Linked DNA regions of Caenorhabditis elegans. The protein of the gene in region 1 purifies or fractionates together with the protein of each later gene. This does not show direct contact. Each region holds a gene or a part of one and is shown on either strand. Other genes may lie near its edges.

Evidence for each region.
Region 2: the proteins of oac-7 (region 1) and ZK353.9 fractionate together in Caenorhabditis elegans (co-fractionation; one large-scale study listed by BioGRID). This does not show direct contact.

Annotation. Positions count from the first base shown.
Region 1 is NC_003283.11:16,308,076-16,315,491, reverse strand, and holds oac-7 (Nose resistant-to-fluoxetine protein N-terminal domain-containing protein), read right to left. Parts: upstream 5,688-7,416; 5' UTR 5,564-5,687; coding exon 5,486-5,563; intron 5,443-5,485; coding exon 5,256-5,442; intron 5,210-5,255; coding exon 5,067-5,209; intron 5,018-5,066; coding exon 4,546-5,017; intron 4,499-4,545; coding exon 4,217-4,498; intron 4,164-4,216; coding exon 3,884-4,163; intron 3,831-3,883; coding exon 3,612-3,830; intron 1,330-3,611; coding exon 1,235-1,329; intron 1,189-1,234; coding exon 1,043-1,188; intron 994-1,042; coding exon 908-993; intron 861-907; coding exon 740-860; 3' UTR 717-739; downstream 1-716. Other genes in the region: str-214 (Serpentine receptor class r-10), read right to left, coding at 1-188; srxa-7 (G_PROTEIN_RECEP_F1_2 domain-containing protein), read right to left, coding at 5,869-6,078, 6,634-7,008, 7,059-7,231.
Region 2 is NC_003281.10:8,407,766-8,412,740, reverse strand, and holds ZK353.9 (PITH domain-containing protein ZK353.9), read right to left. Parts: upstream 3,246-4,975; coding exon 3,138-3,245; intron 2,706-3,137; coding exon 2,632-2,705; intron 1,720-2,631; coding exon 1,362-1,719; intron 977-1,361; coding exon 890-976; 3' UTR 724-889; downstream 1-723. Other genes in the region: cyy-1 (Cyclin-Y), read right to left, coding at 3,901-4,005, 4,582-4,744, 4,795-4,961.

The DNA.
Region 1 (7,416 bases):
TGAACTAATACATCAAGCAGAGAATATGTTATTTCAAAACATGAAATAAATAACATCAAATATTTATAATCACCAATTTCTTTTGGTGAATGCTTAGTAATAATGTTAATCAGGATGCAATTCAAAAATAAAGCAACGCCGGCTCCCATGATCTGGATATTGTCTTGGAGCTGTTTCCAGGAGGCCATTGAAAAATTCGTACAGTTGTAAAACAATCGAATGTAAGAATATCAGGGTTGGTTGAGCATAGATGAGATCCATTTCTTTTGGGAATTTTTTTTACTTGTTTGTGATAACAAATTGATGCCTAGAATTGTTTTCTAGTATTTTTCATCACGTTAAGTATTTTGAAGTTTTGTAGGCCAGTCATATTAGCATTTAAAAGTGGAGTTACGCCAGTGGGAAAAATGGTAAAAACTACCAGAATGGCGCCAAAATGACCGAATATTATAATGAAACTTTTCAAAAACATTTTTTAAATATTTTTATTTACTGTCAAAAAGTGACAATTACTCAGTTTTTGCCACTCATAGTTTTGGAAGTCGGCAAAAAAAAATTTCCTACATTTTTATACTATAATTTTTTAAAAAATTATTTGTATTAAAACATTGTAGGGGGCGGTACATGCGAAATTACTTAGAATTTTCACAAATTTCATATTTTTAAAATTTTGGCAATCGCAACAAGCCATTGAAAACAAAAACATTTCAAAAATATGGTATATTAAAATACTTTATTTTCATAATCTTATCAATTGCTCTTCACTTCCCGCGTTGCTCTCTTGTACTAAAGTTTCCACCTGTGTGAGTTCTGACCGTTGGTTTCTTTGGAGAATTGCTTCAATCATCATTTTCTTCAGTCTGAAATAATACAATTTTTGGCCCGCGAGATGTCGGATGCTACCTACTTCAGTATCGGAATTTCAAATAATGAGCTCCAGAAGAAAGCGAAAATGTAGGACAGGAGGCATGCCGGCACCGCGTAGTAAATAAACTGAATTTTTGAATTTTATTCAAATTAAAAATAAAAATCTCAAACTCACCACTTGAAACGTTGAGTAAAAATGCATACTGGAATCATTAATATTTAGGTACCAAAAAAGTGTGAAAAAGTGTACAATATACGCGCAATATGACAGTCTCCCAAGTGGCTGCCACATCGGATGGGACATAAATGCATCGATGGGGCCTGCAACGAAACTATACTTTAAAAAGTTACTGTAGAGTTACGGTACCTCCCCATCCCATATGGTTTGCAACAATAACCCAGGAAACTGCAATAGACCAGGCTATCCGCGAAAAGTTGTAGTAGGTGGCTCGGGCAAAGATGCTGGAAATCTTTTCCTAGATTTTTTGCTGAAAAGCTCTAAAAATGTTTTTTGAAAAATTCTGGAAAGTTTGAGGAAAGTTCTGAAAAAAATTTCTAGAACTCTCATGAAAATTTGAATTTTGCTGAAATACTTTGAAACGTATGGAAAATTGTTAGAAAACTGAAAAATCTGGAAAGTTCTGAAAATCTCTAATTAAAAAAAACATTTCTAGAGACTTCTACAATAGTCTTGAAACTTTTTTAATCAACTGGAAAGTCCAAAAATCTTCTGAAAATAATTAGAAATTTCTAGAAATTTCTGACATTTTTGAATATTGCTAGATAACTGTGGAAACTTTTTGAGTTTCCGAAATTTCAAAACATCTGGAAAATAATGAAAAAAATATGAAGCATTTAGTCCAACTTTTTTTAAAATTTGAAGCTTTGTAAAACTTCAAAACTTTCCTATGTTTCACTTTAGTAAGTCTTCTTGAAGCGTTATGCGTTTATTTTAACAAAATCCCCTTCTGGCGCTATTTACATATACAGTGCTGGCCAAAAAGATATCCACTTTTGGTTTTTTGTGTGTAACTTTTTTCTAAGTGGTTATTTTGTTTTGAAACTTCACCACAGTGTTCACAAAATCTAAAAACACAATATTCATCAAAAATGTTCAACAGATTTTGAAAAAACTTCAGAAAAATTCAAAAAAATCGAAAAACTAGAAATATTGAAAAAACCGAGGTTGCAAGGAAATGACAATTAAAGTACCGGAATATGAGCAATTGGATTTAAAAACAACATAATTATGCTTAATACTTTGTCGCGTATCCGTTTGCATCAATAACAGCTTGACAACGACGTGGCATCGAGTCGATCAGCTTGTGAATAACTGACATGGGGATAGCTTTCCAAGCGTTTTCCAACTGGTTGAATTTGGCATCTGCATTTGAAGCCCGAATACCTCCAAGACGTCTTTCCAACTCTTCCCACAAATGCTCTATTGGATTCAAGTCCGGAGACTGACTTGGCCAATCGAGCAAATGCACACGACGACGTTGAAACCAGGAACGCACATGAAGAGAAGTATGCTTAGGATCGTTATCCTGCTGAAACACGAAGCCACGGCCCACATTTTGAAGTGCCCAGGGTCGCATTGTAGTTTCCAAGATGTTTTCGTATTGAAAACGATCCATAATGCTTTGGATTCTCCTTAGTGGGCCCATGGAAGTGCTGGTGAAGCACCCCCACACCATGACGCTCCCACCTCCATGCTTAACGGTTGGGCATTGATACTTTGGAGAGTACCTAGAGCCAACAGGACGACGTACCCAGGAATTTCCATCACTCCCGAACAAATTGAACTTGCTTTCGTCAGACCAGATGTGTTTAGCCCATTCCTGACGTCCCCAACGAAGATGCGCTTTTGCCCACGCAACTCGAGCCATGCGATTTTTCTTACTGATGAACGGTTTCTTGACTGGCTTTCGTCCGTGTAGTCCTGCTTGCTGTAAACGTCGACGAACAGTTCGTTTACTTGGTACAGGTTCATTTGGAGAACTTATAATCATTTGAATATCCGTGGCGGTCCTATGCGGATCTTCTCTTGCTGATCGGAGGATGTTGCGATCCATCCTATGGGTTGTCACTCGAGGCCTGCCGGGCGAGATTCTCAAAGCGACGGATTTCTAAACATTTATTATTAAAAAATAATATTTTTCGAACTCACCTCAGTTTGGTACTTCTTGATTACTTTCCAAATAGTCGACGGAGAACGTTGAATTTGCAGCGCGAGCATTTTCGTGGGTATTCCTTGTTCGAAGCCAGCTACAATGGCTTTCTTGACGTCCAAGGAAAGATTTTTACACCCAACAGATTTTACCATACCTTAAAAATAATTTATCAACCAAACAAATCCAGTGCAACAAACAGAGTGCGTTTTATTGATAATTCAAAAAAAATAATGAAAATTGGAAAAACGAAAAAATCAAAAAATTGAAATAAAATTCAGAAAAAATCGATAATCATGTAATGTTTGGTCCGCAAATTTGCGTAACATTTCGCTTTATGCACACGGAAAAATTCAAGTCAAATGGATGCTTGAGAAAAAAGTTACACACAAAAAACCAAAAGTGGATATCTTTTTGGCCAGCACTGTACATATTTCACATTTTAAATTTTTTTAATCTTTTTGGACCAAGAAACAAAAATTACATTTGGTACTGCAATATCATACTTTTTACTATTATTTCTTGTTTCAAATCTCCAACCAAACTTCAGTATCAATAAAACTTTCCCATTACCTCCAGTAAGCACCTTTGTCGTAATCATATGTGGAAAACATGCATGCCATTCCAAGACCAAAAGCCACAAGCCATCCAATCACCGCAAGGAACCAATGAATCCGGATTTTTCTTTGACCAAATACAGCTAGACCGTAGCCAATAAGAAGACCTATAAGATACGGAGGACATCGGATCCATGGCTTGTGATAAATCATATCGTATAGAAGATTGGTGTTTCTGGAAATTATAAATTGCAAATTTTCCGAATGTGCCAGAAAATTTGAACTTACCCATTTCCAAAAAAATCAGCTGGCAAGTCATAAATACTATACAAAATATAGACAGTAACCAAACTTCCGATCATTCCAACTGCTATCAAGCTACTCCCAATTATCGCCGAGTAGTAGAGACCAACTAGGATTATTGGTGCAAAAATGTATAGTTGAGTATCAACTGCCAAATACCATGACGGTGCATAGCAGGCTGTACTGGAATCTCCCATGTTGTTGATGTAAAACAAATTCTTCCACCAGTACGATTCACAAGTTGCGATGCTAGAGAGCAGGGTGTCTGAAAATTTGTTTTATAAAGTCAAAAAAATTGAGAAGTACTTTCAAACTCACTAAACTGACTAGCCGAAAATGGACCTTGCACGTATTTCCCGTAGACAATATAAAAACCAATGAAAATCATGTATGGAGGAGTTAACCGGAGATATCTATGCATGTAGAATATGATCCAAGTAAGTGGGCTTTTGATTTGAGATGATTTATGCTTTTGCTTGAAGAATAGGTAAGCAACGACGATTCCAGACAGCAGGAAGAAAGTGTCAACGGAGACAAATGCGTTGAGTAGGAGGTGATTCCAGAAGTGATCGGTGAAGTGTGACATAGAGAGTAATGTATCTGGAACAACAGGTGTTTGAGTAGATATTTTGATACAAACATCCTACCTGGAGGTATCACAAACGTAAACGTGTGTCCTGTAACAACCCATAGCATTGACAAAAACCGAATGCAGTCCAAGCATTTTATAAATCCAGGCTTCTGCTCCTTCACGCTCAATAACACCCCCGCATTCGTCCATAATGAAAATGTCAGCAACATTTTCATGATCAAATTTGGTTGTGGCGGCGGGGAATGCTCATTTTTCATAGCATCTTTGAGATAATCAATAAAAGTTGCCAGAACCAAAATTGATATCATAACGCACATAAATGCAGAGAACCCCCAGAACGCCGAGTCCTTCTCAACTGGAAAACTTGAACAAAATGCTGCACAAGCCGTAAATGGCATCAGCGGAAGTTGATTAAAAAGTTGCGGGAGATCCTCAGAAGTACACGATACAGACATACACGTGGCACTTCTGAAAAACGCGGCGCTAGGCAAGAAGCCACCACCTCCGCCTATAGAGCAGGATGAGTTCTGAATTACAGAGTAAGCAAAAGCCGAAAAAAAAATAGAAAATCCCTACTCTGCCAGGAACCAAGACCAAGTAGCAATAATTCGTTTCATATTTTTTACCACTAATTCTTTGGCATTCTTGGTAAGATCCATCGAAGATCAGAGGAACTTCGAAGATACCTGATGAGGGGAGTTTACCAAATGCGTCGAGCTCTGAAACATTTTCATACTTTTCCAATATAAAAGAGCAAAAACTCACGTTCGATCGCATAAAAGTTATCCTTAATAATTTGAATCTCTTTTTTGTTGCACTTCCTCGAAATCAAGCAATCCACAGAAACTTCTGCAACTAGTTTCAGAGATTGTAACCAAGTTCGAGTATCATTTGCGCATTGAGCATTCACTTCATTCAAAGAATTTGAAGCATTCTCGGATTTTAAAATTTTCTGAAACTTGTTAACAAGTGCAGTCCAAATTAAAATCACAAACCTCCCAGCTATCAGCTTCCAAAGTTCCGATAAAAATTGCAAAAGTGAAAAGAAAAATGTAAAAATATTTGTAAAGCATTTTTTGAACTGAATAAAAAATGTGTAGGCTAATGAGAATCGAATTTTTTTTTGTGAAAATTCAACAATTCATAAGCATAATCCGTCAATTCATTTTCCAATGACAAATTCTCAATAAATTTTTCGGTCGAAAATTTGGTCAAAAGATCAACACTCAACTGTCTTATGTAGTATTACGCAATTGTGTGACTGTCAGACTGTCTGCGTCTCTTCTCAGTCCTACGTGCACCCAACAAGTGTGTTTTGGTTTAATTTTTATTATAAGGATAGACGAAATGCATTTACTTGAAAAAATTAAAATAAACTTCAATTTTCTATCCGAGACATTTGAAATGTACTGGACACTTTTCTAGTACTGAATTCCTTCTTCACTTCTGCGCCCAAATATTTTTTGAGCATTTTTCGCGTTGACGGACTTCCCAAATAGTAGACGAAAAAGTTTATGGCACATATGGTCTCAAGGCGAAAATAAAATGTTAAATCCCGCACGTATTGAGGTAGACTGTTATACGCGTCCTGGAAATTGACAGATACATATTTAAAGATTATATGCTCATTATATTGAAGTGCATTTTGGCTGTAAAATTTGGTTTTCCCTACCCAATTGGACAGTTTTGTAGATTTGCTGGGAAAAGAATGCGCAGCCGACATCGATCGAGGACCGCGATCATCGAATTAAGTGGCCCACGCGTTCCTCGACTGATGTCGGCTGCGCATGATCCGCTGAGGGAACAAGACAAACAAACTGCAGAGGTGTGCTATAAATTTATTTTTCTCAGCGTCGTGTCGAAGTTTTTTTTGGAAATTAAAATAGTCATCTAGAAAAACATTTACAATTTTTAAAAATAAATTTACTTTCAGTTTGAAAAACCGAAAAGTTGCTCAAAAACGACCTGTGCTGATATTGAGGTTAAATTCAGTTTTTGAGAAACTTTCGTAATTTTTTAATAAAAAACAAGTTAATTTTCAAAAAGAAGAATAATCTAAATTCCTATATGAATTTCCAAAAAACTTTGACACGACGATTTTAAAACGGAGCATTTTGTAAATTTTCCTTTGAATCAAACTTACAGGAAACGTTCTCATTAACAGAGATCCAACTTCATAAAACGACAGTCCAACTGTGATTGCAACCGTCTGCCGCATGAGCATATTCTCCCTTTTCAGTTGACTCTGCGCCAAGCTGCTCGAAGACAGCATTGAAATAACCGACGATTTTTGCCGTATCCTCGTGTAAAAATCATAGCGGTGAGCTTTCAAATGGAGCATCATAAGGACATTGATGACTAGAAGGGTCGTCGGCACCCAGATTGCATTGATATTTGTGAATTTTGTCACAGGATGTCTTTCTGGAGCACATGCCGTCAGGAAGACCAGTGTACTAGCGAGGAAGTTGACTGGGCAGTAGGAGAGACGAGGGATCAGGAGGAGAGTGAAGCAGAGGATCTGAAAGTTTTATATTTAATTGTATTGAAATCGTAAACACTCAAGCTCACCAAAATCAAAAAGCTATAGAAAAAGATCCTTCGTTGACCGAAAACTCGTTGATCTGTCGGCCGGATCACGATGAAAAATCGATTCATCGTCATGAGAACACTGACGCACATTGGAATAAAATATGTCAATGTGCCGAGCATTGTGAATTCACGTCCAATCATTTCACGGTATGCTGGAAAAATATAGTTTATTAAGTTTTTCACAAAATTTCAATGACTGTGGCTACTAGGTCTGAAATAATGCATTCCACGGCGCTCGACATCTTACGGGTTAGGAAAACATTGTCGGCTGCTTCGATCTTTTGGAAACACAAATTTCTATTCGGCTATGTGCTACAGATGATGTAAAAAGTGGGTG
Region 2 (4,975 bases), on another chromosome or scaffold:
GAAAATGCGTGCTTCTTTATTTTTGAGGTTTTCAATGAATTAATATTTCTGATCGAAGAACTAGTAACAATCGATGAAAATTCTGCAACGATGAGAGTTTGAAGTTACAGTACACTTTAAAGGTGCGTATATTATTTTATCAAAATGATGGCGTGTCGAGACCAAGTACAGTATTTTTGGGGCCAACATCGCTACATTTCGATAAACTTAACATGTCTTTTAAAAACTACCGTAACCCAATACGATATTATACAACGATAACGCGTACTTTCTCAACCAAAGAGATAATGACGTGGCATTATTACAGTATACCAAATTCCTATTATGATTCATGCATCCTTTATGTATTGTTTTGTACAATTCTGCCTTTGTTCTGCGTCTCTTCACAATTGACCAATCCTTGTTCATTCCATTGAATTCATTTCGCAACAAAAAATGTATGCTTCTTCCATTTTTTTCACCCTCGCGGCCACCGTCTTTTTAAGTGTAGAGGAGCGCACTTCTGCGTCTCTTCTCCAATAAACACTATTTCAGTTTCCCGCTCACATTCATTCGTTCATAAATATATTGTGAGAGAAAAAAAGAAATGGGAGGAGAGAAGTGTATGTGTGCGTATGTGCCCCCCAGAGGGTTGTCATTTTGTCGTCAAAGGGTTACTGCTGGGCGTTGAAGATTGAAGATGCAGATGCCCGTGGAATGGATTACGGTAGACGGAAGACAATTGAGAGAAATAATTTACTTCAAAGAAGAATTTGAGGGACATACTTTCCGACAAATGTCGTGTATTGTTACAATTTAAACATTTCAATCGAAAATACTGGTAGTCAATATGAAACCACGTGGATTGATTAACACTAACGAATTCACAAGTAATCAATAATTAATTATTTTAGAAAAGTCCCTTGGCAACAGCATCTGGAATCTCGTTTTTATGATCTTTGAGTTGAGCTCTTGATTCGTATGTGGCAATTGCAATCTGAAAATTGGTTTTTTTCCGAGGCGACAAATTAAAATTCTGTAAAAGCCAGATGTGCAATTTTTACACCAAAAATACAGTACTTGGTCTTGACACGACGATTGTTTGTAAAATGTGAAATGGTGTGCGCCTTTGAAGAGTACGGTATTTAAAACTTTCATTTCTTCGACGTTTAAAAAAATGTAAATTTTTTTAAAAAGTTTTTCAATAATAAAAATTTTAAATCCAGAAAAATCAATAAAACTTTCTGCAGTATCTAACAAGATTTAAAAATTACAGTACTCTTTTAAGACGCACATCTTTTCTCCTTTCACAAATTCGTCGTGTCGAGACCCATTGGTGAAAAAATATTTCGCGTCTGGCTAATATTCAAATTTTTCCTTACCCTTTGTCTGAACTCGTGCTGAAATTCTCCACGTAATCCGATATAGTAGATCTTTGTCTCATCTTCTCCAAAGTTTGCATCTACCAAAATCGATAGATTATGAATATTTCCAAACTTTGAAGCTTTCAACGGATAATCCACGAGTCCTTGTGGATCTTGTTTCAAATCAATTTCCTGATCTGCCTCAATACTACAGTCATCAAATGACATTGCCTCTCGATCTTTGAACAATCGAATTTTGGCTGGATGTGATCCATCTTCGTCTCCGATTATCGAGAGACCCGTTAGACGAACGTGTCCGGTGAATGGAATATTGAATAGCAACTCGTGATCGCAATCACTTTCTACGTATTCCAATCTGAAATTTGATTTTTAAGAGTGTATATGTACGTGTATACTTTTCTTTCTCTGGACATTGGGGCATTAGTTGACAGATTAGTTGTTCAGGTTGTTCTATTGACAGATAGAAAGACAGCTGTCAGCAATTTGATACAATAAGTACTTAAGTTTATCTTCATTACGAAAAAGTATTTAGCGAACCTTCAGAATACCTAGTTTAATTTTAAAACTTTAACATTACCATATGACTTATTTGTTTTAAATAATCTAAATTATGTGGCTGCGTGGCGGGTACGGTAGATTACTGTAAGATCGCTGCGAGATGTGATTAAAGCTGAGTCCCATATTACCCGGACGCGAATTTTGAGATTTTTAACAAAATACGGTACACGGTCTCGACACGACTAAATTTTTAATGCGAAAATGTGTGCGTCTTTAAAGAGTTAGAGAGTACTGTAGTTTCGAACGTTCGATATTGCGGATCTTCATAGATTTGTCATAGTTTTTTTCGGTAAATACATTTATATATTTAATAACTCAAATATAAACACATAAATTTGAACAAAACGTGAAATAAAAACTATGTTGATAAAAATTCGACAGAAATGAGCGTTAGTCTACAGTACTCTATAAACTCTACCGTACTCTGTAAATGCGCACATCTTTTCTCATTTGGAAAATAATTGTCGTGTTGAGACCGGGTACCGTATTCTTGTCGCCAAAATTACAAATTTTCACGTCTGGGAATTTAAGTTTATACCAATTTCTGTGAGTAATACTGAAGAGTTGTCAACTTTTTCCGATTAGCCACTATTTCGTAGACATAAATAATTTTCAAAATACTCCCCATTACCACAATACTCTTTAAAATGGAATGTTTTATCGTCGGAATAATCCTATATAAAAATGTAATCCTCATGTACTAGCTAACCTGTCATCTCTTTTTTCCATCACCTTGAAAACCTTCTTTCCGGCGCCGTCGACTGACTCGTTGAGAGTAGTTACCTGAGAGAATTGGTATCAATTTAATTGCTGAATTGAATAATAAAAACGTTGACAGCGGATGGCATTTCTCGCGATGCGTTTTCCTAATTTTGTGAGATTGTAGGGAGAAGTTACAGTTAACGCATTTTAAATTTAATTTTTATTTTAATTTCGAACAAGAATATTTAATTAGTTCTTGAAAAACTATTCCTGTTTTTTTCGATACTCAGAATATTTATATGTTTCATCTTACAATGCATCTTTCAATTATTTATTTATGGGTACGTAGAAAAAAGCCTCTTTGGCATAGAGGTGCAAGCGCGCTCCAACACTAAATAAATACGCTCCGCCCCCAAACATTGGGTCTCGTTAGGTATCTTCGGGAAAACTTTAAATTCGAACGTTTTAAGTGTGTTTTTGCTGATTTCAATCATTTTTGTTTTTTATGTTTACCTTTTCCATGTCAATATAGCTGACCATATCGTAGCGATACACGTCATCACCTGGAACTTCTGGAATGTGCTCTGCGGCACAATTGTGAGAATGACCATGTGAACACATCTGGACAAAAAACTATTTAAACTACTTTTGAATAAATGCCAAGTATCGGTATTTTTCAACCATCAAATATTAAAACACTCTGAAAAAGTTTTTCAGAAAACAATTTTACTGTAATCGATTCAAATGTATCTATTCAAAAGAGGACATGGGTTGATCATGGTGATACAGAAGTATTTGCAGATATTTTGTAATACTGGAGGGATCGAAAGAAAACAAAGAAAGAGAAAATGAGATTTTCTGAGATAGGTATTGAGTCAATTAAATAGCCAACAAACTTCTTTTTTTGAAAATACAAGCAATTTGAGAAGGAAAACAAGATGGGGTTTGTCAAAGGAAACGAATTTAGCCGTATTCAAGATAAAACGATAGTGTGCAGAGAAATAATTAAGAGAATAGCAAAGGAAGAAGCAAAAACATTAACAGTTGACAAGACATACAAAAGAAACATTATGGCGTTTTCAAATTATTATGCATTGGGGTTGACTGGGGCAGGTTGAAATAAGTTACATGCGAGAATAAACTGTAGCGGTTTTGGAAATACCTTCTCTTTTAACATTCTTGAAATCAAAAAGAAGGCAAATCCATTGAAACTACAGAATTATAAATATTACAATAAATTGACTGAACAAAATATTTAAATTAGAAAAAAAAATGTCTACGAGAGAACAGCCGGATGCTCAAAGACAAGATGTTCAGCTGACCGGGCACGCTTTGGAAGCGATGATGATTGAATCTTATCCTCGAAGACACGGCTCAAAGCCTGTAAAATTGTTGAATAAGAAATTGGGAAGAATTTAAAAAGTTTTTTTCAAATGTTGAAACTTTCAGAATTATTTTTTCGAGAATAAACAGCACATTAAAAATCATGTTTCAATCTTATTGCATACAAAGGATATTACTATTTGACAATTTTTCTTTGTTCTTATTTTCTTTTTTTTTATATGTTTTTCGATTTTACACAGAAAAAAAAAACGCAAATTTTCGTATTTTTTCGATTTATATTTTCAAATTTTTTTTTTTAATTTTGACCATTATCGCTCTTTTTTGAAAATAATTTATGTTTTCTTCTCATCAACATAGACATAATTCGATGAAAAATTCATTTTTTCTGTTAATTTTCAGAAAATATTTTTTTCGATTTTTCTATGAAAATTTTTCAATTATTCCAATAGACTAAAATATTAAATTTTGAAAAAAAATTGCAAAAAAAACAGAAAAACATCAGAGACCCCTTTGATCTAAAAATTGACATTTCTTTTTGTTTATGCAACAAAAAAATAATTTTTTTTGGTAATTTTTAACTTTTTCCCCGAAAATCAATTGTCAAAAAGGTTACCTCTAATCTTTGCGCTCTCTCCTTATACAACGGTTGAATTGGTAATTGTAAATCATTTGCAAGTGCCAATGTTCGAAGATCGAAATAATACTTGGCATACACCGACGACGGAACTTCAATATTAAAGTCGAGACATTCCAAAAACCGCCGTTCTAATTCGTTCCTGAAATAATTTAATTACGGGGTTTCTGACCAAATAAAAAAAATACTTACATATCGTCAACATTTGTATCTCGAAGAATTTGGCAATAATCAACATTCCAAACAGCTTGATCATCCCATACTTTTGATGCCAACATGATTGAACCGAGTACAACCCGACGCCAATTTGAAGGACACAAATCCATTTCTGCGTAATTAAGCAATCGTTCGATGTACACCTGAAAAAATGGTT